3 linked regions of the Oreochromis niloticus genome follow. The protein of the gene in region 1 purifies or fractionates together with the protein of each later gene. This does not show direct contact. Links are inferred from orthologs where the notes say so. Each region holds a gene or a part of one and is shown on either strand. Other genes may lie near its edges.

Region 1 (7,671 bases):
GTGTTGGCTCAAGGACACATCCACAACCAGCAGGACACCGGCCCTTGGTCCAGCTGAACAGCAGGGAGTGGCTTACAAAATAACGAAGATCATGATTTAAAGTAATCGTGAGCAAAACACTAAATCACTCCTCCGCCCTTTAAAACGCTGCAGTCAGGCTTTAAAGGGCAGAGCCTAAACTCTGGATTATTATTCATGGTTTAATTTATTATGTTATAGTACACATGTACGTTTCATGTTATGTTACACTTTACTCTCACGTTATAGTAACTTTACAGAGGAGCGTTTGGTTTGGCTGACCTGCTGCAGCACAGGGTGCGTTTGATTTCCATACCTGCGTAGTGGTGAGCAGGATGGGCTGGCTGCTGCCGGTGCCGGTGGCTGCTGGAAGTAGAAATGTTCCACCCGCTGTCTGAGTCAGGATGAGTGGTGGAGCTTGAGCCATCAGGGGCGGGGCCGTGGAGGCAACCGCGGAGGGAGGGAGCCGCGGGGCAGAGGAGGAGGTGGTAACGATAGAGGGAGGAGGGGGAGGTATCACAGAGGAAGAGGACACGACCTGGGCAGGTGATGAAGCTGAAGAAGAAAGAATCGGTTAGCAGATTTTCTTTCTTTCTTTCAGATTTTACAGAGGGAAGCAGAAGCACAGACTGCTCCTCCACATCCCAGGAACACCTTCAGCACACAGCACTGCGTCTCTGCCGCTTTAGGCTGTTCCAGGATCAGCTTCAGCTTTAACACGAGCTTCAGACATCGTCATGTTTAGTTCTCCAACAAAGCTGCTGAAGCTCTGCCTGTCCCAGAGAAGAGGTCTGCTGCTTTCACCTTTGACCTGCTGACCCTTTCCTCCACAATGTGTTAGCTCTGCTGCTCTGACACATGAACATCAGACAGAGAGCGGCCACGCTCAACACCTGAACCTGATGATACCTGTAAACTCAGCTTTATTTATCTTGTGCTAAATCACACACTCAACAGTCATCCTGTAAGTTAAAGAGTCTACAGTAACACAACTGATCAAAGATCAAAGCATCCGAGTGAAAACGCCGTCTGTGTGCTTTGGGATCATCCAAACTCAGTTTAGGACTTCTGGATGTCTGGGGCTCCGGTTGGTGTCATCAGGTATTCAAAGAAACACTGAACACATACCTGTTGCAGCAGGTGTGATGGGTGGTGAGGTCCTTGGAGGTGGAGTCTCAGAGACTGGGAGAGGAGACGGAGAATCCTCCACTACATGGAGAGAGAGAGAGAGAGAGAGAGTCTGGTTTTAGGGTTTGGGTTCAGGTTCAGGTCCAGAGTGTCCAGAACTGGTTTTAGAGTTTGGACCTGGTCCAGGATCTGGTTCTGAGACTCACCTGGCTCTCCATAGTTGTCCATGAAGTCCATGTCATCTTCCTCCACACTGTCATCCACCTGTTGCCATGGCTCCAGCTCCTCCTCCTCACACTCCATAAACAACTCTGTATCCATGTTGCTATGGAAACCACCAGAGAAACCATCATTGTAAACAAGATGAAAGAAAAATCTGACCAGCAACATTTCCACTACATCACATGACATTCACGATCAAATGTTTAAAAGGGGCAGGGCTTTGTCAAATTAAAGTCCCACCTGGTACTGCATACCTGCAGCTTACCTGAGAGCCAGGTGAGCAGGTGATCTTTTCACTGGTAACTTTAACTGTAAATATTCAAGTGTGTTTAGTTTCAGAGAACACCTATGAGCTCAAAGACCAATGAGAGAAAGGCGGAGTCGCCTCTCAGCGTTACCGCAGTGACAGCAAACTATAAACTACAAAGACTGAAGGGACAGACCGCACACAGAACAAATCAGCTGAAATACTCTGTGGTGTGTTCACAGCCTGAGGATGGGTCCCATCAGGTTTGATGCTAATCAGCATCACAGACTCACAGGGCGTGTTTGTGTCAGTGAACCTCACAGCTGTTCAGTTTAGTCCCGGTTTAAGTAGAAGTCGGTTTATTTAAAACATTTATGATTCAAATGAGGACATCTGTGCAGTTTCAGTCAAACACCTGCGCTTGCCTAACACACTGATCAGGATGACCTGACCCCGCTCATCACGCGCACAATCACGGCAGTGGCGTTAGTGTGGACAGACTTCCGGTCACTGTGACGTTTCGATGTTTTCTGTTGCTGCCGTTTGTACTCCGTCTCTTTGTCACGGCTCTTATTTTAAATAAAGTAGTGGTATGATTAATAAACGCTGGCCTTCATTCGCTCAGCTGACGGTGAAGTTAAACAACAGCAGCTCTGTACAAACTCTGATGTCGGTAAATCTTTTTAAATAAAGTTGGATTCAATCAGTTGTAGTTTGCAGGTGTAATGGCAGCTCCCGCCGCAGGGGGCGCTCCGCCCGCTCTCCGGGTTTTGTTCCTTTGAACCCGGCTGAGACGCGCCTGTTGGCGGGGACCCGAACCTACAGACCGTGCGGGCCCAGCTGAGCCGAGCCGGGTCACCGGGCTCTCGAGCTCAGCACGAGCTCAGCACGCACTGCGCGCACTCAGTCTGCACCGCCCCACCAGCGGTAGCTCGCCGCTGCACACCGAGCGCCTCCCGAAAGCTTCAGCGGGGCCTGCGTGTGACACTGGGACGAGCCGAGCCGAGCCGGGCCGGGCTTACCTGAAGCTGGAGCGGCACCACGGAGTTCGGACGGGTTCGCACGGCTCTTCTCGAGGCGCGCTCCGGTTCGACAGTCAGGGGGCGGGCCTTCCGCCCGCTGCCTTTTTACAACCGCCGATTGGGCCGCACAGATACATCACTTCCTGTTCAGGCGTCCCTGCAGCTCATTGGTCAGTGGGATCTTTGTGGAGGCGCTGAGCCGAGCCGCTGCTCTCAGGCTGGAGGCGGGCAGACCCGGAGGCCCGGGCCAGGGGTCAGCCGGCACCGCGGCCGGTCAGCGGGGAGGCCGACAGGAGCCAGTACCGCCGCCACGCTCGGGCCAGGGCGCCATCTTCTTTTTGTTTTGTTTTGATGGGGCGTGAATAATATCCGTGACGTCACGAGCTGAAAAAGCGCGTAGTAAAATACATTAAAAAAATAAATAAAAACAAGTTTTTTTTTCTGGTATTTGTGCTTCAGAGAAAAGTAACTCACACAGGTGAGGCACACCTTTCAGCTGCAGGTCTCCACACAGTGGCACGCCCACTGAACTTCCTGTGACACGCTGTGATGTCATAATGAACCAGAAGTTTTCCAGAGCGTCTCCGGACAAATAACGTAAATCTAAAATGTGTATTTTCTAAATCATTTTCAGTTTAGAGCACAGAGAAGGTTTCATAAAATAACTACACCCTGGCACCTGCGTTACATATAAATATAACATACAGTTTGGGCCCCCGTGGTCTCTAAAATAAACACCCACAGAGTGCTGAGTGTGGATCTGGAGACATATAAATTTGACTTTGGTTAGTACAGTTTACTGGACAGAGCAGATAGAATAGAATAGAATAGAATAATCCTTTAATTGTCCCACAAGGGGAAATTTGGATGTAACAGCAGCAAGAAAGACACATATACAAACAAACAGTACACAAGAACAGAACAGAAACATACACAATTTTTTACATATTTACATCACGGACAATAGTTACCAAAAACAGAGTACTGTACAGTTATTAAATTAAATACAGATAAGAGGCAAACCCAGGTTGTAGTGTGAATCAGTTGATAAAATAGTGCAAGTTACAGCGCTGATGTGAACATTTTGTTTGTTGGGAGCAGTTTTGTTGTACAGTCTGACAGCTGCAGGGAGGAAGGACCTGCGGAAACGCTCCTCCATGCATCGAGGATGCAGCAGTCTGTCACTGAAGGAGCTCTGCAGTTCAGCAACATTTCCATGCATGGGGTGGGAGACTCTGTCCATCAGAGATGTTATTTTGGCCAGAGTCCTTCTGTCTCCCACCACCTGCACTGGGTCCAGGGTGCATCCCAGAACAGAGCTGGCCTTCCTGATGAGTTTATCCAACCTCTTCCTCTCAGCTGCCGATAAACTGCTGCTCCAACATACAACACTGTAAAAAATGATGGATGCCACCACAGAGTCATAGAAGATCTTTAGAAGCGCTCCCTGTACTCCAAATGACCTCAGCCACCTCAGCAGGTAGAGTCTGCTCTGACCCTTCCTGTAAAGAGCATCAGTGTTGTGGCTCCAGTCCAGTTTATTATTCAGGTGAACACCCAGGTACCTATAAGAGTCCACTATCTCAATGTCCACTCCCTGGATGTTCACCGGTCAGAGAAGCACTGGAGAAATCAAAGAACATGATCCTCACAGTGCTTCCAGGCTTCTCCAGGTGAGTCGGAGCTCGTTGCAGGAGGTAGATGATGGCGTCCTCCACCCCGATGCCAGGCAAGCAAACTGCAGCGGATCCAATGAAGACCTCACCAGGGGATGAAGCTTGAGCTGAGAGCAGGACTGTTATATGTCTTATCTAGCGATTTTATTGTAATTTTATTTCATTTTATTGTTTACCAAAGAGCAGAGCGTCATCAAAGTCAGCGTTATTGTCAAAAACTACATGTACAGATCATACACAGGAATTTGAAACTGCAGGGCTCCCACGGCCCTCAGTGTTACACTAAACAACATAAAAGATAAAAGTCTTATACACACAACACTGTCCAACACAGTCTGAGTGTTTGTGGGCACTGTGGGGTCAGAGGGAAGACGTGGGTGCAGGTCTGGTTGACAGGGACAGAGCAGGGAGAGAGTTCAGCATCCTGACAGCCTGATGGACGAAGCTGTCTCTCAGTCTGCTGGTTCTGGCCCCGAGGCTCTTCAGTCTCCTTCCTGATGGCAGCAAACTGAAGAAGCTGTTGGACGGATGGGTGTAGTCACCTGTGATGCAGAGGGCTTTCCGGGTGAGGCGGGTGCAGTAGATGTCCTGGAGGGAGGGAAGAGAAGCACCTACCATCCTCTCCTCTGCTCTCACTGCTTGTTGTAGCTGTTTCCTGCAGACTCAGTGCAGCAGCCACACCACACAGTGATGCAGCTGGTGAGGATGCCCTCAGTGGTGCCTCTGTAGAAGGTGCTCATAGTGGGGGTTGAGGCTCTCGTTCTCCTCAGTTTGAGGAGGAGGTAGAGTCGCTGTTGGGCTTTACTGACCACGATGCTGTGTTCTTTGACCAGGAGAGACGTGCACACCCAGGAACTTGGTGCTGCTTCCCCTCTCCACAGCAGCACCGTTGATGGTTGGTTGGTAATTTTTATTTCAACATGTGAACAATATACAGGTACATTTAGAAAAAAAAGTAAGAGAGAGAGAAAAAAAAAATATATATATATACACTATACAAAATACATACAAAAACACCCCCAAAGAACATTCTGATTAATTTACATGTTGAAAGGGAGTGGGAAGAAGTAAACACTTATTTAATCCCACCCCGTTGCCATAAATTATCAGTTAATATTTAGTCAGCTTCCTTACTGATATAATTTGTAATAGAAATAGTGAACAGATTTCTGATCTACTTTATGCTATAATGTTACATCATGAATTTTTTTTTTTTTTTTAATTGTTATTTATTTTTATATATTTTTTTTTTTTTTTTTTTTTTTAAATGGAGACATTCACTTAATTTCAATATTTTCCTTTTCTTTATAGTTCGAGAAGATCATATTTTTATAACTCTTTTTGAACTGTTTTATGTTTGGACATTGCTTTAATTCCATATTCAGACTGTTCCATAGTTTCACCCCATGAACAGAAACACAAAAGCCTTTTCTTGTAGTTCACACCTTCCCTGTTTTGAAGTTACAAAAACCCCTTAAATTATAGCTTCCTTCTTTCAAAAAAAACATACTCTGAATATTACCTGGCAGTTCTTTATTTTTTGCTTTGAATAGAATTTGTGCTGTTTGGAATTTCACTAGATCATCCATTTTCAATATTTCTGACTGCAAAAATAGTGAGTTTGTATGTTCCCTATAACCTGCATTGTGGATGATTCGAATTGCTTTTTTTTGAAGAGTAAAAAGTGAATGTAATGTGGTTTTATAGTTATTGCCCCAGACCTCTGCACAATAGCTTAAGTATGGTGAAACCAGTGAACAGTAGAGAATATGAAGGGATGTTCTGTCTAATACCTGCTTTGCCTTGTTTAGTATTGCAATGCTTCGTGATACTTTGGAATGAATATATCTTACGTGAGCTCTCCAGTTAAGTTTTTCATCTATTATTACCCCCAGAAATTTATTTTCACTGACTCTTTCAATATCAACACCATTTATTTCAATCTTTGCATTTGTATTTAAACTACTATTTCCAAATAACATAAGTTTAGATTTATTCAAATTTAATGATAATTTGTTTTTATCAAGCCAGAACTTCACTTTACTTATTTCATTAGTCATATCCTCCAATAAATTCTGCAGATCATCACCAGAGCAAAAAATGTTTGTATTGTCAGCAAAGAGAACCATTTTTAATACTTTGGACACTTTACAGATGTCATTAATGTACAAGTTGAAGAATTTTGGACCCAAAACTGACCCTTGGGGTACACCACAAGCAATGTCCATACATAAGGAACAACCACCATTTAATTTCACAAACTGCTTCCTGTCACCTAAATAACTCTGGACCCAATCTAAAGCTACCCCTCTGACACCAACGTTCCAGTTTTCTTATTAATATATTATGATCTATAGTGTCAAATGCCTTTGACAAGTCTATGAATAACCCAGCCACATATTGCCTTTTGTCTATGGAATTTGTGATGTATTCTATTGAATCTAATAGTGCCAGATTCAATAGTTAGTGTGCAGGTTAGTGGGGTGTGCAGGGTGTGAGTTCTCCTGAAGTCTATGATGATCTCCTTAGTCTTCTCCACGTTTGGGGACAGGTTGTTGTTGCTGCTGCACCACTTGGCCAGATGTTTAACTTCACTCCAGTCGTAGGTCTCATCGTTGTTGCTGATGTGACCTACCACAGTTGTGTCATCTGCAAACTTGATGACGGAGTTGGAGCTGTGTGATGGTGTGCAGTCGTGGGTCAGCAGAGTGAAGAGCACATCCTAGGGGAGCCCCCGTGTCCTGGTGCTGGAGGCGTTGCTGTCATCACTAACAGTTTTCCTGCCCATGGCAGAGAGTGGTGGTTCCTGGTGGCACTTGTGATCCTTCCTTCCCAGCACGTGGAACTGATTTCAGAGCAGCTCTGTGCTGGATAATCTCCTCTAATCTGTTAATCTCTCCTTCCTCCGTCTGGTTTAGCTCCCTCTCAGTCTGTTCTGACCTTCAGGGATGAAAGCTGCACATTCTGGGGGCTTCCTGGTGCTGCCGTGGCCCGGTGACGGCGGCAGCTCACACCCGGCCCTGGGAGAGGAAAGTCAGGGGCGCCTGATGCTGAGATGTGGAGCTCTGCTGGGAGTCACGCTGATCTGTAAGATTTAACTTCTCATCAATTCAAACAGTGTTACATTACAGCCCAAAATATTATCTGATTTAATAATACAGACAAAGAGCCATTGACCTGCATGCGGACAAATACATTCTTGGTTGTTCTGCATTCGGGGTCCAGATGTGTTCCACAGCTGAAGCCGCTGCTGCTGTGAGCTTATATGCGGAGTCAGATTTGATGTAGAAGTGTTTTAGGCAGTTTAATGTCAGTGTTCCAGTCCTCGCAGAGTTCATGAAGAAACAGAAATGCTGAG
Region 2 (7,755 bases), on another chromosome or scaffold:
GCTGCGGTGACTGCTTCCTGACTTAAAACAATAAAAAAACCATTTCATCCTTGTGGTGTCAGCTGGGTTCTTAAAAAGAAGAGGTACACCGTTTATAGCAAATTAAAAGTTGTGAACCCACAATGGAACACACTCGGTGTTAACACAGCCTGTACCAACTCTGATTTTCAACACTAACATAATCGTATCCTGTAAGCACTAAAAGAATGTGTTAAAATATTTATTTTTTTTTATTTTAAAAGAAGGTAAAGAATACAAAGACAGAATAGTATAAACTCTCCCCAGTAGCATATCACCCATGTCATCTACAGCTTCTCCTCCTGAATGATGGATCCTTTTTAGTAGTCTGGGCCCGTGTGCTCCAATGAGGCTTGGATGGAGATAACACAGTGTCCAAAATTTGTGTGTGTCATTGCTGGACATGGTAAAAATTGAAGGTTGGGAGTTTAGGATGTGAAAAATGTCTGACTCAAGGTTGTCCCTGCAGTGAAGAGGTCCCGTTTTCTCCTGAGGCGATACACTCACGCACTGACAGCATCCTTCTCCTTCTTGTCACTGTCTTCATGCCAGGTGAGACGTTCCTCATAGAAGGCTATGACAATCTGTGGGCACTTATGATTGGCCTCCTTGGCGAGAACGAGATCAGCCTCATCAGAGTCTTTCCTGAAAAGAGAAAGTTTAAAATCACCGCTTGGGTTTGTGTCTTTGCACAACCAAGATATAATATCTCCATTTTCATAACACTTGCAGCATGCAAATTTGGTCCAACTTGTTAAAATGTAGCAAAAGATTTCACACATTACAGTAATTACATGGAGTGCATTTAAATTTAATCTGCTGCAAGTTATTATTAAAATTATAACTTAAAACAATTTAAAAAAAAAAAAAATGGACTGTGCAGGTTTCTGTGATAAATTAAACATTACTACAACTATTATCTGATATTAACCCTTAAATGGGGCTCAACCAAGCATGAGCAACAATGTACTACATTTAATCCCTCAAGATAATATGCAATTACATAAAGCTTTATGGTGTGGTTAAACATAGGCCAGCTAAGCTATAAATGCTGCTAAAGGCAATTTACAAATAGAAATATCAGAGTGTAAGAGCTGTCCTTTAAAAAGAATTATGTCAGTACAGCTGCATATAGTAGAAGAACTGCCTGAATCTGGGGCAAAAGGTCATCTGTATGGTTGTGCATGTAAGAAGATTTCTACCATTAGATGCATTTATTGATCGATTTCACACAAAAACTAAAGGCAAAATTAAATCAAGACTTTCAGAACCTACCACTTCATAAGAAACATGAGGTCTCCACATGAGTCTGTTGCTCCAATGATCTTCTCCGGCTCAAGTCCTCTCTCAAAACCGCGTGCGACAAGAATGTCATCCTGAAAGACCCCAAACAAAATTACTTTAGAAATCTGGATTTTGTATTAAACTCTTGAATTTACACCAGCTGTCTTTAAATGTAAACAGTTTCAGTTTCCACACACTTTAGATATAAATGCGTTGTGCTACCTAAATGTCAAGTAAAAGAAAAGGAAGCTAAATGCGGCACATTTCAAGATATAGACATCCTGCTTCTGCAGCAAAAAATAGTTCTTACCTCTTTTTTCTTCTTGGGCTTACTTCCACCTTCCTCGTCATCGTCAGAGCTCCTCTTCTTTGAGCTGCTGGAATCTTTGGCGCGTCCAGAGGACGCCGTGTTTGATTTGCTGGCCCCACTGCTTGGTGTGGAGGTCCCACCACTGCTTTTCTTGTAGGTCTTCATGAATTCTGCAATAAGCTCAGGGCAATCCAAGTTTTTCTCTGGTTCCCATGTGTTGTGCTTGCTGAGAAAGAGCACAGAGTAGAAAACTCAGTGCAGCCTTAATGCACCAGTTCGGATTGGAAACTGCAAGATATGCTAAAAAATTTGAGATCTTGCAATGTTTAAAACATTGTAATCTAATGGTACTTCCGTGGTCATTACTGTCCTTTAGATGGCAGAGCATCTGTGTCTAAGAGAGCTGTTCTGTTGTGCACTGGGTGCATCTTGTACCCGAGTGTTAGGTTTTAGAAATCTCCAATAACCTACTCCAAAATGTGACCAACTGTTTACAACATTTAATTTTAATAAAGATGCAAAAGAGTTTTGACTATGGAGCTTAGGACCGTGGTGAGTACATTTATTTAATTACTTACTCCGAGTATCCCTTCCACTTTAGGAAGAATTCAACCCTTCCTTTCACCACCCTCCTGTCCAGCACTTTTTCCACAACATATTCTTCCTCATCAGAGGATGAAGACTCTTCTCCGCGAGACTTTTTGCCCATGGTAAAGTTTGGTGCTTAACACAACGCGGTTGCAGGTGACACTTCCCTGTTTAGAAAGAACGGAGAAGCTCACGTTAAAGATATTTGAGTTTTGATCGCTCTCCCACTAGTTCTAGTTAATAAAAACGCATCATTTTAAAAATAATAATAATAATAATAATGGCTACACAGCCACATCACAATCGCAAAGCATCCACAAGTTACAGATCGGTAACACTTTAACATTAGCTAATTAGCCGCCGCTAGCAAGATGGCTATCATATTTCAGCGAGAGGCATAATATCGTCATCGCTTGTTTAATTGCAACATGGAACGTTAAAAAGGCCAACTAAACAGTGCAGCTAAACATCCTGATCGCCATCTACTCGTTAAAACGGTGAAAAGTCGGTCACTGTTACTACTAAAACGTGCAAGTAGCAAGGACGACGGCTACTAGCTGAACGGTGCTAGCAGCAAAGCAAAGGAAAACTTGCTACAGCAGGTAGCCTGCAAGCAACCGCTAAATCGAGCTAAACAACTATGCTATCAAACCATGCGCCCATATCTACAGCACCATGAAACTCGACATTGCAAGAATAGTGTCTTACTCTTCTGGAGGTTCCAACCGTCGATCTGTACCCGTCAAACCCTGTCTTTGTGGACGAGCAGCGAGGCCAACCTTTCAGCTACTTTAACAGCTAGCCTCACACACACACAAAAGGTGCTGTGCGCAAAAAAAAAAAGCGCGCGTTAAAAGCGCACAATAACTGACCCCGCCCCTCGGTCAGCTGATGATCAACAGATAAAGTGGTTGAATGTGCTTCTACCATGTTTTTAAGTTTATTCTGTAACAATTTGGAATATTTTTTGTATTAATACGTGCACACTCTGTATAGAAAATATTTTTTCTTTGATAAGGTGTGTATGTTAATGTGGGAGGTAGGGCTATTGCTGTACAAGGCAGCTGTGCTTCCGCCCACAAATCGAAAACAGAATCATTTACGGTTCGTATGATGTTTAATCTGAAGAAAATGCCCGTCTTCCTTGTGTTTTCCAGGAAAATAACTTACCGAGCTGTGCAGACTGTATGCTTACTGACTTAAAGGCGTTATACACGATAGACACGATACCTTCTTGAAGTTTTCCCTTTCACATACAACAACCATAATCCATTTTTTCATTGTCGTCATTGTACACCAGGTGATTGGACGCTGGTAATGATTGATTCTACATAGCCCAATCAAGATCGAATCACTGCGGACGACAAACTGCAGCGGGAATAGCTGTCCAATTGCTGTGCGACAGGGGCGTTACCGTTGCTATTTATTGTACTGTTGACTAGCAGGCTACACTCGTCTGACGCAGATCTCGGCTCTTCGCTTGTTACACAACACGTCTTCAAGACTAAAGCTGCAACATGTCGAGAGAGAGTGTGAGTACTGGGCTCGGGAGTACTTATCTGTTATTGTATACGTTGTTTTATGTTAGGGAAGGTAGGATATGAAGTTGCTGCATGCTTTTTATTCTTAGTACAGTCTCCGGTTTGGGTCGTAGCTGCAGTAGCTTTCCTGCATTGTAACGCCGCCATTTTATAGCAGCCAGGCCTCGTGGCCTTTTGTTCTTGCAGATGAGCTGCAGTGGAAATTTAGGACTTTAAATCAACATTTACGATGGAAAATTGCGCTTAAATGCTACAGGCATTTAAATCACGACCGACTCTGATCTATAACTACTTCTAAAACTTGACCTATTCGCTGGTCTTCCAGCGGTTTTGCTAACGTTAATGGCGGCGGTGTGTCCCTCCTCCACACGCCCTGAATTTTAATAAGGGGCGCAGGGAAGGATGTATGTACACGGTGAACAGCGTTAATTACTACCCGATTTAAAGTGATTGTGGTATTACATTAAAGCCGACATTGGAGCAGCTAATCAGATGTTATCGCATTGCTTTCTGTTGTATAGGTCCCACGTGAGCCGGAGCAGCTCCGCAAGCTGTTCATCGGAGGCTTGAGCTTCGAGACGACAGACGAAAGCCTGCGTGCTCATTTTGAGCAATGGGGGACCCTTACAGACTGCGTGGTAAGTCGTTTCATTAAGGATGTAGTCTTGTTTGAGCAGTCACGATTTTGCAAGAATGTAGAGCATGTTGGTACCCTGTGTATGAGCTGATCCAAAAGCACTCTTCTTTCAGGTCATGAGGGACCCCAACAGCAAGCGATCCAGGGGTTTTGGCTTTGTAACATATTCATCAGTGCAGGAAGTTGATGCTGCCATGTCAGCCCGTCCCCATAAGGTCGATGGAAGAGTGGTAGAGCCGAAACGAGCGGTTTCCAGGGAGGTGTGTAACAACTGGATGAGGTGCAATTGTTCTTGCATTCAAAAGGCGCATAGTGATTACAATAACAAATATCTTTGATTCCAGGACTCAAACCGGCCAGGAGCCCACATAACTGTGAAAAAGATCTTTGTTGGAGGCATCAAAGAAGATACAGAGGAGTCACACCTGAGGGATTATTTCCAGCAGTTTGGCAAAATAGAAGTCATTGATATCATGACTGACCGCAACACTGGGAAGAAGAGGGGCTTTGCCTTTGTTACGTTTGATGACCACGATTCAGTTGATAGGATTGTCAGTAAGTACAGAAGTTGACTTTTCCCTAGCTGCATGTTTTGTCAGAATTTTGATTGTTGGCTAGCTTGTTTACAAAAAATCGCTTTCCACAGTCCAGAAATACCACACTATCAACTCTCACAACTGTGAGGTGAGGAAGGCCCTCACAAAGCAGGAAATGCAGAGTGCGGGAATGGGTATGGGAATGAGAGGAGGTCGCAACACTGGTGGCAGGCCCTACGATTACGACAGGGGCTTCAATCAAGGTATGGCTTATTTTGTTGATGGTGGAGTGATTGATTGTTATACTATGTGATAGCAAACCTTGTGTTTATCCTATTTAGGTGGCAGAGGGCGATATGGAGATGGTCCTTACAATTGCAACGGAAGTGATGGTGGTGAGCATGGTTTTGTTGTGTCTTCCTATTTTCTTTGCTTTTTTTTTTTTAAACTCTACAGTATATTTTAAGGCTGTCTTATATATTTAGGCTATGGAGGCGGACCTGGTGGTCCTGGTGGCTATAATGGAGGTAACCGTGGTTACAACCAGGGCTACAACCAGGGTGGTGGATATGGAGGAAATGGTTATGACAGCAATGGTTATGGTAAGATAATGCCATTTCACTGCCTTTTACTAGAACTAGAACTTGCTCGAGGTTGACCAATGTTATAAACTCTGTAATCGCAGGCAATTGTGGTGGTGGTGGAGGCGGCGGTGGCGGCAATAACTACAACAACATGGGCCACTACGACCCCCAGGCCTCTAACTTTGGCCCCATGAAGGGCAACTTTGGTGGCGGCGGCGGCGGCAGGAACTTTGGTATGAGTTCCCAGACTTCACAAGTAAATGCGTTTATTGTACGCTGGCCTCGTGTAGGTTTATACTTTGTTTTTTGCTTCCAGGTGGATACGGAGGCTCAAACAACAGTGGCTATGGACGTCCAGGACGATTTTAAAATGAGAAAGTGGTAAGAGCTTGAGAGCATGCCTTAAGAGTCTTTTAATGTAAAACAACAGCTTGTGGTGAGCAGGGAATCATTGAGTGCAGATAACCTTTAAACAAATTCACTCTGGATGTCAGGTCACAAAGTCAGTGCACAGTTAACAATGTTGTTCCGTATTGTTCAACAGGACTGAGTACTTAGGAGAGGAGAGCAAGGAGAGGAGAGCAAGCGAAGTGACAGGGCAACTGCAGGTTTACCTCCTAAATCTGCTCAGCCTATGAGTTGTGGCAGGTTACAGCTGCTGCAAGAAGAGATGTACAGTAGATAAATCATGGAGGGCCTTCATTTAAACATTTTGTGTTATGTTTTTCTCTTTTTTTTCGTCAATTGTGTTAATGGAAAGCAAGCATTCCAATGAGGTTTTGTGTAGATCTTTAAGTCTGGTTTTTATTTGTAACTGCATCAAATCAAGCTGAAATAAACACCTTTCAGTTTTTTTAACAGTCTCGTTAGCCTTTTCAGTGGTTTTGGGAAAGGGAGGGTTTACTATTAGGTGAAAATGGGTCGAGCCATATACATCACAAGGTGGCCGGGGAAAGTCAATATCCGTGTCTCCTACATGCTGCCTCAGGTCAGCGCATATGCAATACTGGTTAAGGGGCGGGCAAAGAAATGGTGCGCAAATGCCATCATCAGAAAGCCCATCACTTTGGTACAAGCTCTGCCCTGATTTCTGCAAAGATCACCTGGAGAATGCTAGCTTACATGCAAAGTCTATGAGGCTAGCCATGGAAGCAAGCTGAGGGAGAGAAGTAGCAAAACCATCGCCAGGATCATTGAAGCAGGGGAGAGTGAGAACAGAGGCCTGAGTCTAGCAGGCAGCAGCTACCAAAAGGCTTAAGTGCTGTTTGTAGGTAAGACCAGACTTCTCAACTACTGATGGTATATCTTGCATTTTGTCATGTAGCTGGTAGTGAGATATGTAGCCCAGTAATAATTAAGTTTTATGACCATTCTACTTTTTGACTTAATTTGGCCTCCAATTGTGCATTGAGGCCCAACATACTGCATGCTATGAAATGAGCAAATATTTTATATTTTTGGGTTATTGTTTTATTTATAGTATTTCTCCTTTGTAGGTAACTACATGGACCCCAAAACCTGGCTTCATTTCTGTGACAATGGTTTTTGACAGGTAAAAATCATTACTTGTTTGTATTTTTAGTTTTTTTAAATTTGAATTAATATGGTTTTCCCTTCTCCCCACAGGTTGGCTGAAAATTCATGCTGGTGCTCAAAATATTTTAAGAAGACTGCTGTGCAGTTTTAATTTTTTATAAACTTTTTTTAATAAAGTGTTTGTATAAAAACAAATCTCTGGTTTCATTCATTAACTGAACATGAAAAGTGTCCATTTATACATTTATGAAGCTTAACATGATTCTTTTGACAACTTCCTGCATGAATCAGTCAAAGTGGCACAATCGGGTAGAATGTTCTCCAGAGTAAAGAAATTATACCCAGTTCTTCAGCATTGCTCTCTCTTCTGCATTGTGTGAGGTACCAGATAAATTTTACCATCGGGTGTCTGCTGTAGAGAATATTCATCTATCGAGTATGGTTGTCCATCTTCATCTCGTAAATGAGAAAATACTTGCGTGTAAAGATCTGTAAGACGACATTTAATGAATGCCAAGCTGCGCTGGAACTCTAGCCTTTCTTGTGCCAGGTGTTCCCTTTGGGCCTGCAGCTGATTCAGTTCCCTTTCAAGGTGAATTATGCTCTCGAGCTTCCTCTTCCTGCAGTTTTGAGCTGCGACCTTGTTCTTCCCCCTTCGTCTAATGTCTCTGACCAGTGCTAGTTGAGCATCTGTCAGAGTATACTGTGTCAGGAGCTCATT
Region 3 (7,889 bases), on another chromosome or scaffold:
CTTATATTTACAACAGAACTCTCCACGACTGCCATGCAAATGTTGAAACTTCTTCCAAAACAAAAAACAACAACAAAAAGACTAATTTAGCTAGACCTAGAAGGCAAGTCAGGAGAAATCCAGTCCTGAGGAAAAGGTTGACGATGTTGATGTAGGCAACTGCATGGGTTGCAGAGAAGAACTACTGGGCTTCATCCTCTGGACAGGAATGCCAGGTCAGTCTCTCCTCATAAAAGGATATGACCACCTGAGGACAGCGGGTGTTGGCCTCACGGGCTGGGACCAAATCTGCCTCATCCGAGTCTTTCCTAAAAGAAGGCAGATTGAGAGAGAGGAACATTATAGAAAGCCAGCATAAGTTAATGTACTTGAAATCAACTAAGTTTATAAGTTGAGAAAAGTTTACAGCAGGAACAGACTAGACAGTGGCAGTTTCATAACTGTGGCTCTGTACACCATGTAGCAAAATCTAAGCAGTGAAAAGCAACTGAAGTGTAGACACTGAGATTCAAGTTCAAGGGTTTAAGAAAAAAAATTTAGTGAAACAAAGGAAGTTCCCGATTTTTAAGACCTCAAATGCAAACAACAACTTAAATATAAATAAATTTAAAAAAAAAAAACAAAAAAAAACAAAACACAACCCTCTTGCAGGAAACAACTGAAGCCTTGGACATCAGTTGCTGACTGGTGTGTATCCAACAGGGAGAAAGACTTTTTTTCTCCCCTTCCACAAATAAAATGCATGGTTATCCAAGTAATTCCACTCAGTTACACTTCCTTCACTTTAAACTTTCTTTGATTGGTATTACAGTATTTCAGGATAATTATTTGTACTGTGAAGGATCCATTAATCATAGCACTCAATACTTTTGAATTCGCTGGCCGTCTATCTTCGTAGCATAAAACACCAGTGACTCACTGTATACCATGCACATCCGTCCTATGAATTACACTGCCTTCACAGTAACTAGATTAACAAAACATTACTGCGCTAAGGTCTTGAACTAACACTCATTTCATTATATTTTGCTTCCAAGGACACAGATTTCCAACCATCCAAAGAAAGGGCTTTACAACATCTAGAAAATATTTTTAAAAATGTACCATTTCATCAAGAACATCAACTCCCCACTACTGTCTGTTGCGCCAATGATTCGCTCAGGTTCGAGGTTCCTAGCAAAGCCACGTGGTTTCTCAGCCTGTAGGTGGTTACAACAGAGAATGTAGCCATATAAGATAGGAAAGACAAAACAACACATTTTGATTCATTTAAAATCCTTGCATATTCTAGCATAAGTTCAGAAGCAGCTGCATTTCAAGAGTATAATGCACAGTTAAATGTCTATGTACAAATCCAGCTGAGCACAAATATGATTATATGTATTATGTATGTATATACCTATGTATGTATTATGTATATAATACATTCATTTATAATAATGCTCTTTTTTGTTTAAGTTATGCAAACTTTTCTCTGAATGGCCCCCGTGTTAAGCTTTGCTGTCCTAAATTGAAATTGTCTTTAGGACATGCTAATTGCAGAAACGTGTGAAAGCAAAGAAATTCACCACATCTTTCTTCTTAGGTTCTGTCTCTGGCTCTTCCGTGGAGGCCTTCCTCTTAACAGGCGCAGGTTTCTCCTTAACGTTCTTCTGAGCCTCCAAAAATGCTGAAATCAGCTCAGGGCAATCCAGGTTCTCCTCTGGTTCCCAAGTATTATCAGCACTAAATGAGCAGAAAGAGAGTCAACATTTGCATTGCACCAATTCACACTGATTTCCATTTTAAAAAAAAAAATGCAAATACTAGCATCAGCTAGCTTGCTTGAATAAAGGTACCGTCGTCATGCAACCACAATGACTTCAAACAAAAGTATAGCACAACCCCATACCAGGGAAGCACTTCCAGCTCAGCAGGAGGGGGGCAGGAGTCCCAGCCAACTCACTCTGTAAATCCTTTCCACTTGAGGTAGAATTCTACTTTCCCATTCACAACACGCTGGTCCAGCACTTTTTCCACAACGAATTCTTCAGGTTCCTCCTGTGTTTCCTGTGTATCCTTCTTACTCTTGGTATTCTGCTTCTTTCCCATTTTGTGATCTAAAAACACAAACAAAAAACGGAATTCGATAAGAGTTTGATATTAACAAATCCTTCACATTCATGTGCTCCTGATATCCACATTTAGGATTGGCCATAGGCCCTAAAGCCGCTGTTCTGGCAAATCCATCCTACCTGGCAAACCACACCGCCACAGACACCTGGATCGTAAACGAATTTAAGTGTGAGGACTGTTATTTGCCCATTAGGGTAATAAAATTAGGCAACCTTGACAAAGGGACGACCACCAACGGGAAGTAAAACACAGCATTAGCTAGCTTAGCGATAAACTCTTAAAGTATTCAAAGATACCCAAATTCTTATAACGTTAGCTCGCATGCTAACTTTAGCTGGCCTTTAACCGTTAGGGAAACCCTACTTCACTTTTATCGTGTCACCTGCAATGCGGAGGGACTTAAAATAGGTGAGCTGGCACAAAAAAAGCGTGCGGGTAATGTTAACGTAACTTGCGCTAACAACAACGTACTCAACTTCAACGCGACACTCGACGTTTTACAAACGGATAAATAATGTTAAGTTCTAGGATACAACTACAGCATAACGAGGAACAGACACTGTTACTTTCGCTTGCCTGTTGACGTTAAAGTACTGCAACTGTAGTCAACAGATCGTTTCTCTCTCATTCGAAACAGCGTCCAAATGGTAAAACAACTGGTTAGCATATACTGCTATTTCGCTACAGTGAACCAATTAACTCTGACACCTCTGTTAATGATAACCCTTTTTGAAACAAGTCGGTATCTGCATACATACCCTAAAACAAGAGAATCGCTTCAACGGCACTTCTTTTCCACGCGGTCAGTTGATTCTTTATGTCTACAAGAGTGTGGCTGAACAGCACGGGCGCCAAAAGCTACTGACGCGCATACTTACGCGCATACTTGTGCGCATACTTGTGCACCATCTACGGAAGCCCGGTTGGAAAACGCTTTTCGCTCCCCAAAACCTGTAGATAATGAAGCCTAGAACTTTACATCAGGGATATCGAAGTCATTTTGGATCGTGGGCCACATGCAGCCAGTTTTGTTTACAAGTGGGCCGGACCAGTGTAAAGAGGTTTAATTACACGTTTAATATCCGCAAAATCTTAATATAAGAAAAAGAAGTGCAATTTCAACAGTATATCTCAGTTATTTTTGCATGATAAAGAAATGAAGCTGTATTAAATAGGAGAACTCAGTCAGCACGACTCTTTGGGCTTAGATTGTAGGAAATGCATGTGTAGTTAAGGTTGCTCGTTGCCCAGACTGTCCTGTAACTATAAAATAGAAAGGTTTTGTGTATTGATAATACTGTATCCTTATTTATTTATTTACTGTGAACCCACTGCAGAAATCAGAAACGTTTCTGTCATTTAAGTATTTTTGAAATCTAATATTACCTATGACTTACTCAAATTGGTGTGAATGTTGATGGGAGTAGGATTTTTATCATTAGGAAAAGCTGTAAAACACATGGAAATACAGTTAAAAAGTCCAAAATGTGTACCATCCTTTACATTTTAAAAAGCTGTCCAGTGGCTCAGATTGCATCCTTTGCCAGGCCAATTTTGCCCCTTGGCCTTATGTTTGACATCCCTGATCTAAATTCTATTGATGTTTTAAGACTGCATTTTCTTTCCATAATATGTTCCTATATGTTGATTTTAAAATCAAGGCCATTCAAAAGTATTTCAAAAGATTTATTTTTTATTTTAAAAAGTCTGCAGGAGCAACTCAAGTTCTGTAAGCAAATGCACACTTTGAAAAATCACAATGGAATCAAACACATTTAACTTCAGAAACAAAGCAAATATTTACGAAAATGAAATTCATACAAACAGCAAAGAAAAGGTTCAAACCAAACAAAAAAATACAAACAAAGGAAAAAAAAACTGAAAGCCACATAAACTACTTCATGGACTTTTCTCAATTTCACTCACTCAGCTGACTCTACTGCGCAGCATAACCAGGAACAGGATGGCAATCCCTATTAATACTTCAACTGTCAAATAATCTTATACATATAAAAAGGAGGCATCCAAACAACATTCAAACTTCTTAAATATGAATCAGTAATTTATTATTTAGGGTTTTTTAGCAGTTTGTTTAATTTGGGTGACTTTGATAATGAAGGATTTTTATTAAACAAGTGCACTTTAGGGAATTTCAGATTTTAGCCAGAAAAAAAAAACTAAACTGGGGCCTGAGAATCTAAAAATATCTCACAAGTACTTGTAAAGAAAGGAAGTTCAGTCAACTTGTTCTTCAGATTAATCATTGTTCAAATACTTTATGCATCTTTCTTCAGTTTACTCACTCAGGTGACTACTTGAAAGTGTGTACACATAAATAAGATGCGGACTTTTAATTCCACTTGATTCTACTCTCAGATAATAAATATTAAAAAAAACACAAACACACACATTCAAACAGCATTCAGACCTCTTAAATAAAGTTGGTGATTGTATTTTTCCTGTTTCAGAAATTGAATCTTTTATGTGTGATTATGGTCACATTTATAATGGAATCGTAGTTATCGAGTGCACTTCAAACGACAAAAAAAATAAAGAAAAAAAGCGGGGTGGGAGCTTTTTTTTTTTTAATGTAGCCAAAATTAACAAAGACTAAGCTGTGAGGTAGAATAATCTTGCCAAAAACTCTAAAACACTTCAAATGAAAGGGGTTAAATTATAGTTGAATTCTTATGTAAGAACTTTTTTGTTATGGATATATGCACTTATGTATGATGTACACACATATTTACCAAAACACATCAAATGCAAATTAAGGCCAAGTCCTTTGAGTCATTGGTATACTGCACGTCATCAAGACATGTAAGCAAAAGATATCTATTTCATTTTTTTTAATTTCAGTTTAATTTTTTTACTCAAACAGTGCATGCCCTCAAATACTGGGAACAAATCAGTAAACTTTGGACTTGTAATAACCCAATATTCTTATCACTCTGACCAAAGGTTACCATTTTGGGAGAGGGAAAAAAAAACATCCTTAACAGTTCTATAAGCATTTCAGGGACCTAAGAAAGTTTAATAAATACAATCCTTTAACCTCATTCTTATACCAAGTAGGAAAACACTAAAGGCAAGATTACAGGTAAATCCTCCTCTTAGATCTCTATCCTGTCTGTAAATATCACAATCCTGGCCAAGTTGACTTTTAGACATGTGTGATTGCCAACAATTTTCTGTAAAAATGAGAAAGACTATGACTTTAATGTTAACAGGCACAAAGAGACTGCTGGCATTACCAACAGCTTAGCTGTTCCCTTAAACTACCCCATCGGCCACATCCACCTATAACAAGAAGAGAATGTCCAGTGTGTGATCTACATTTTTCCCATCAAATAATGTATTTACATTTTTTTTTTTCATTTACTTATTTTTTGAGTGTCTTTTCTTTTTGAATTTAGGTTCTCAACAGTGGTGAATCAACACACACTTTTGCAAAAGAGGAGACCCTAAAACCAGAGTCAGGCAATTAGGTTCCGCAATATCCCAAAACCGAAAAGGTCAAGTCTCAGCAGGAAATGCTGCATTATTGCTTTTTTTCCTTCTTTCTCTTGTCTGTTTTGTTGCCAGATGTGGAGACAGCAGGTCGTCTTACAGGCTGAACTACAACCCTCCCGTTAGCCCCGCACTGCAGGGTGAATCTGTCTGGGTTCAGGGGTGTTCCTGATTCATCCCTCAGCCGGGACAGGATGTCTCTGGTCAGCTGCCTTATCTGATGGCCCACAGCACCCATTGTTTTTGCTGTAAGGTGCTTCTCCCTCAGCAGTTTGTCTCTTTGAACTTGCAGCCTTTCCACCTCCTCCTGGAGCCCAGTGATGGCATCTAATTTGCGCTTGCGGCAGTTTTGGGCTGCCAGCTTATTCTTACCACGCCTGCGGATGTCCCTCAGGAGGGTCACCTGTTCAGGGGAAAAGCCATGACCATCAAGAACTTCCAGGAACTCTTCAACAGGCATGTTAACTATCTGCAGGACAGAGAATGGCAGACACATAGCACGGGCGCGCAGCTCATCACGACTCAGCTCCCCTTCTTCCAGCCGAAATCCATCGTCATCGCTGAGAGGCTCCTCCTTGATGTTTTTGCGAGGCAGCGTTACTGACGGCTGGTTAAAGAAATTGGCAGATGAGTAGCTGTGGTCGTGCCACACACTCTCAACAGGTGGCCATGTTGTGGTGTAGTCAACAATGCCTTTAGAGGGGATTGAGTCTGCCTCACTGCTGTAGCCTGTAGCTCCACACTCATCCTCGCAGTATGAACTGGATGAGGATGACATCTCAGATGAGCCTGGACAAAGTGAGGAGTTAATGACTGTGTCAGTATATTTAACAGAAAATTTCTTAGCTTCACAAAACATAGAAATTAAGACATGCAACTTTTCCAAGTATAGAATGCAATCTGAACCAACCTGGAGAGACTGGACCTCCAGAGCTGCTCTCCAAGGAGAGACCAGAGTCTGACTCCAAGTCCTCAAGGACCTGTGGGTCTATGCTGTCCAGACAGTCCATCAGGCTGCTGTCAATTGAGTCCAGACCTTCCAAACCAAGCTGATTGATCTGGTCAAACACTGCCTCATCTAGGCAGCCACCCAGTGCACTATTTGATGACACATTTCCAGTTATGTTACATACTGAGGCAAAGGGGAGTGCAGCAAGACCTAGAGCCATCCCAGGTGAAGCATCTGAGTTTAAAGAGCCTGTGGATTCCATTCGAAAGAAAGCCCTTTGTTGTTGGGTCGTGGTCCTGGGCTCAGTTCTATCAGATGCCAACCCAAACACTCCAGGACTGGTTAGCATAGCATCATGCAGACTGACATTCCGGCTGATGGCGCTGGTGATGTCAGTGTCGAGATCTGACAGACGCTCAGTGACAAGGGGGTCCAAGTCCTATATTTTAGAGAGACCTGTTAGTCGAACTTTATTCTCAAAAGCTTTGAAAATCCTCTTAACCCTTTAAGACCTACCATAGAACCAAGTCCACCACAGTTTATCTTTATATTTTTACATGCTGTAGTGCCATTTTTGGGAGCATTTCAAGTTACTATACATCAATACAACCGTTATAGCCCAAACTTTAATAATATGTATGCATTAAGTCCATAGTAACTACATAAATTGCAAAAAAGTGCAATAAACTACCAAAAAATTGAAAATCATTTTTGGTTTTTTTACATATATTTCTAGTTAAAGAAATTTAAGAGGTTTATTCCTCAATACTGTAAATACAAAAAACTTGCACAAAATAGTTTCCAACAAAAAGGAAATTTATTTTGAGTGTCTTCATAGTTTTATTTTTGAAATACACCAATTTTTATATACTGCAGGAAAAACGAAAATAAATATTATGATGCAAATTTGCAAAAAAACAGCATGTGCATCAAAACAAATTATTTCCAGCAGTGCAATTTGAGTTCTAAGCATCCCAGAAACTATTCAGAAAAGCATGAAGTCAAACATGATTTTTAAAAACACCAGTATAGGCTTATAAGGCCCCGAAGGTAAAAAACTACATTTTTCCGCGAAAACTATGTCACTTCCGGTTTCGGGCAGGTAATGGCGGACATGCAATAGTTCGCGCTGACGTCTATTCCAATGTAGGAAGTGTTTTGAACAACTGATCAGATCGGCAAAGCGTGTTTCTGGAATATTATGTTTTTGTTGCTGCAAGTGCTTTTTAAGCAATTTTTGCAAAGCTATATGTGGAAGGAAACCGTGACCTAGGGTAAGCTGATGGCATAAGATGTAAGTACAACTCCTCCGGTT

What was found. Proteins that work in one complex are often made in the same cells at the same time.
Region 2: the proteins of pogzb (region 1) and cbx5 purify together in Homo sapiens (affinity purification with mass spectrometry; 5 studies listed by BioGRID and IntAct, with this or other methods). This does not show direct contact. The link is inferred for Oreochromis niloticus from reciprocal best matches to the Homo sapiens genes POGZ and CBX5.
Region 3: the proteins of pogzb (region 1) and cbx3a purify together in Homo sapiens (affinity purification with mass spectrometry; 7 studies listed by BioGRID and IntAct, with this or other methods). This does not show direct contact. The link is inferred for Oreochromis niloticus from reciprocal best matches to the Homo sapiens genes POGZ and CBX3.

What each region holds. Positions count from the first base shown.
Region 1 is NC_031976.2:38,269,719-38,277,389, reverse strand, and holds the start of pogzb (pogo transposable element with ZNF domain), read right to left. Parts: upstream 3,032-7,671; 5' UTR 2,638-3,031; intron 1,472-2,637; 5' UTR 1,468-1,471; coding exon 1,353-1,467; intron 1,228-1,352; coding exon 1,147-1,227; intron 574-1,146; coding exon 335-573; intron 1-334. Other genes in the region: retinol dehydrogenase 12, read left to right, coding at 7,262-7,400. UniProt on the Homo sapiens protein: Plays a role in mitotic cell cycle progression and is involved in kinetochore assembly and mitotic sister chromatid cohesion.
Region 2 is NC_031984.2:19,129,108-19,136,862, reverse strand, and holds the start of cbx5 (chromobox protein homolog 5), read right to left. Parts: upstream 3,031-7,755; 5' UTR 2,909-3,030; intron 2,368-2,908; 5' UTR 2,322-2,367; coding exon 2,191-2,321; intron 1,839-2,190; coding exon 1,613-1,838; intron 1,395-1,612; coding exon 1,294-1,394; intron 664-1,293; coding exon 522-663; 3' UTR 1-521. Other genes in the region: hnrnpa1b (heterogeneous nuclear ribonucleoprotein A1), read left to right, coding at 3,718-3,732, 4,263-4,379, 4,492-4,638, 4,723-4,933, 5,025-5,177, 5,256-5,309, 5,400-5,516, 5,600-5,731 and 1 more; nfe2 (transcription factor NF-E2 45 kDa subunit), read right to left, coding at 7,384-7,755. UniProt on the Homo sapiens protein: Component of heterochromatin that recognizes and binds histone H3 tails methylated at 'Lys-9' (H3K9me), leading to epigenetic repression. In contrast, it is excluded from chromatin when 'Tyr-41' of histone H3 is phosphorylated (H3Y41ph).
Region 3 is NC_031985.2:25,229,707-25,237,595, reverse strand, and holds the start of cbx3a (chromobox protein homolog 3a), read right to left. Parts: upstream 3,031-7,889; 5' UTR 2,874-3,030; intron 2,259-2,873; exon of another isoform or gene 2,235-2,258; intron 2,100-2,234; 5' UTR 2,092-2,099; coding exon 1,946-2,091; intron 1,726-1,945; coding exon 1,569-1,725; intron 1,200-1,568; coding exon 1,105-1,199; intron 309-1,104; coding exon 182-308; 3' UTR 1-181. Other genes in the region: nfe2l3 (nuclear factor erythroid 2-related factor 3), read right to left, coding at 5,657-6,414, 6,536-7,013.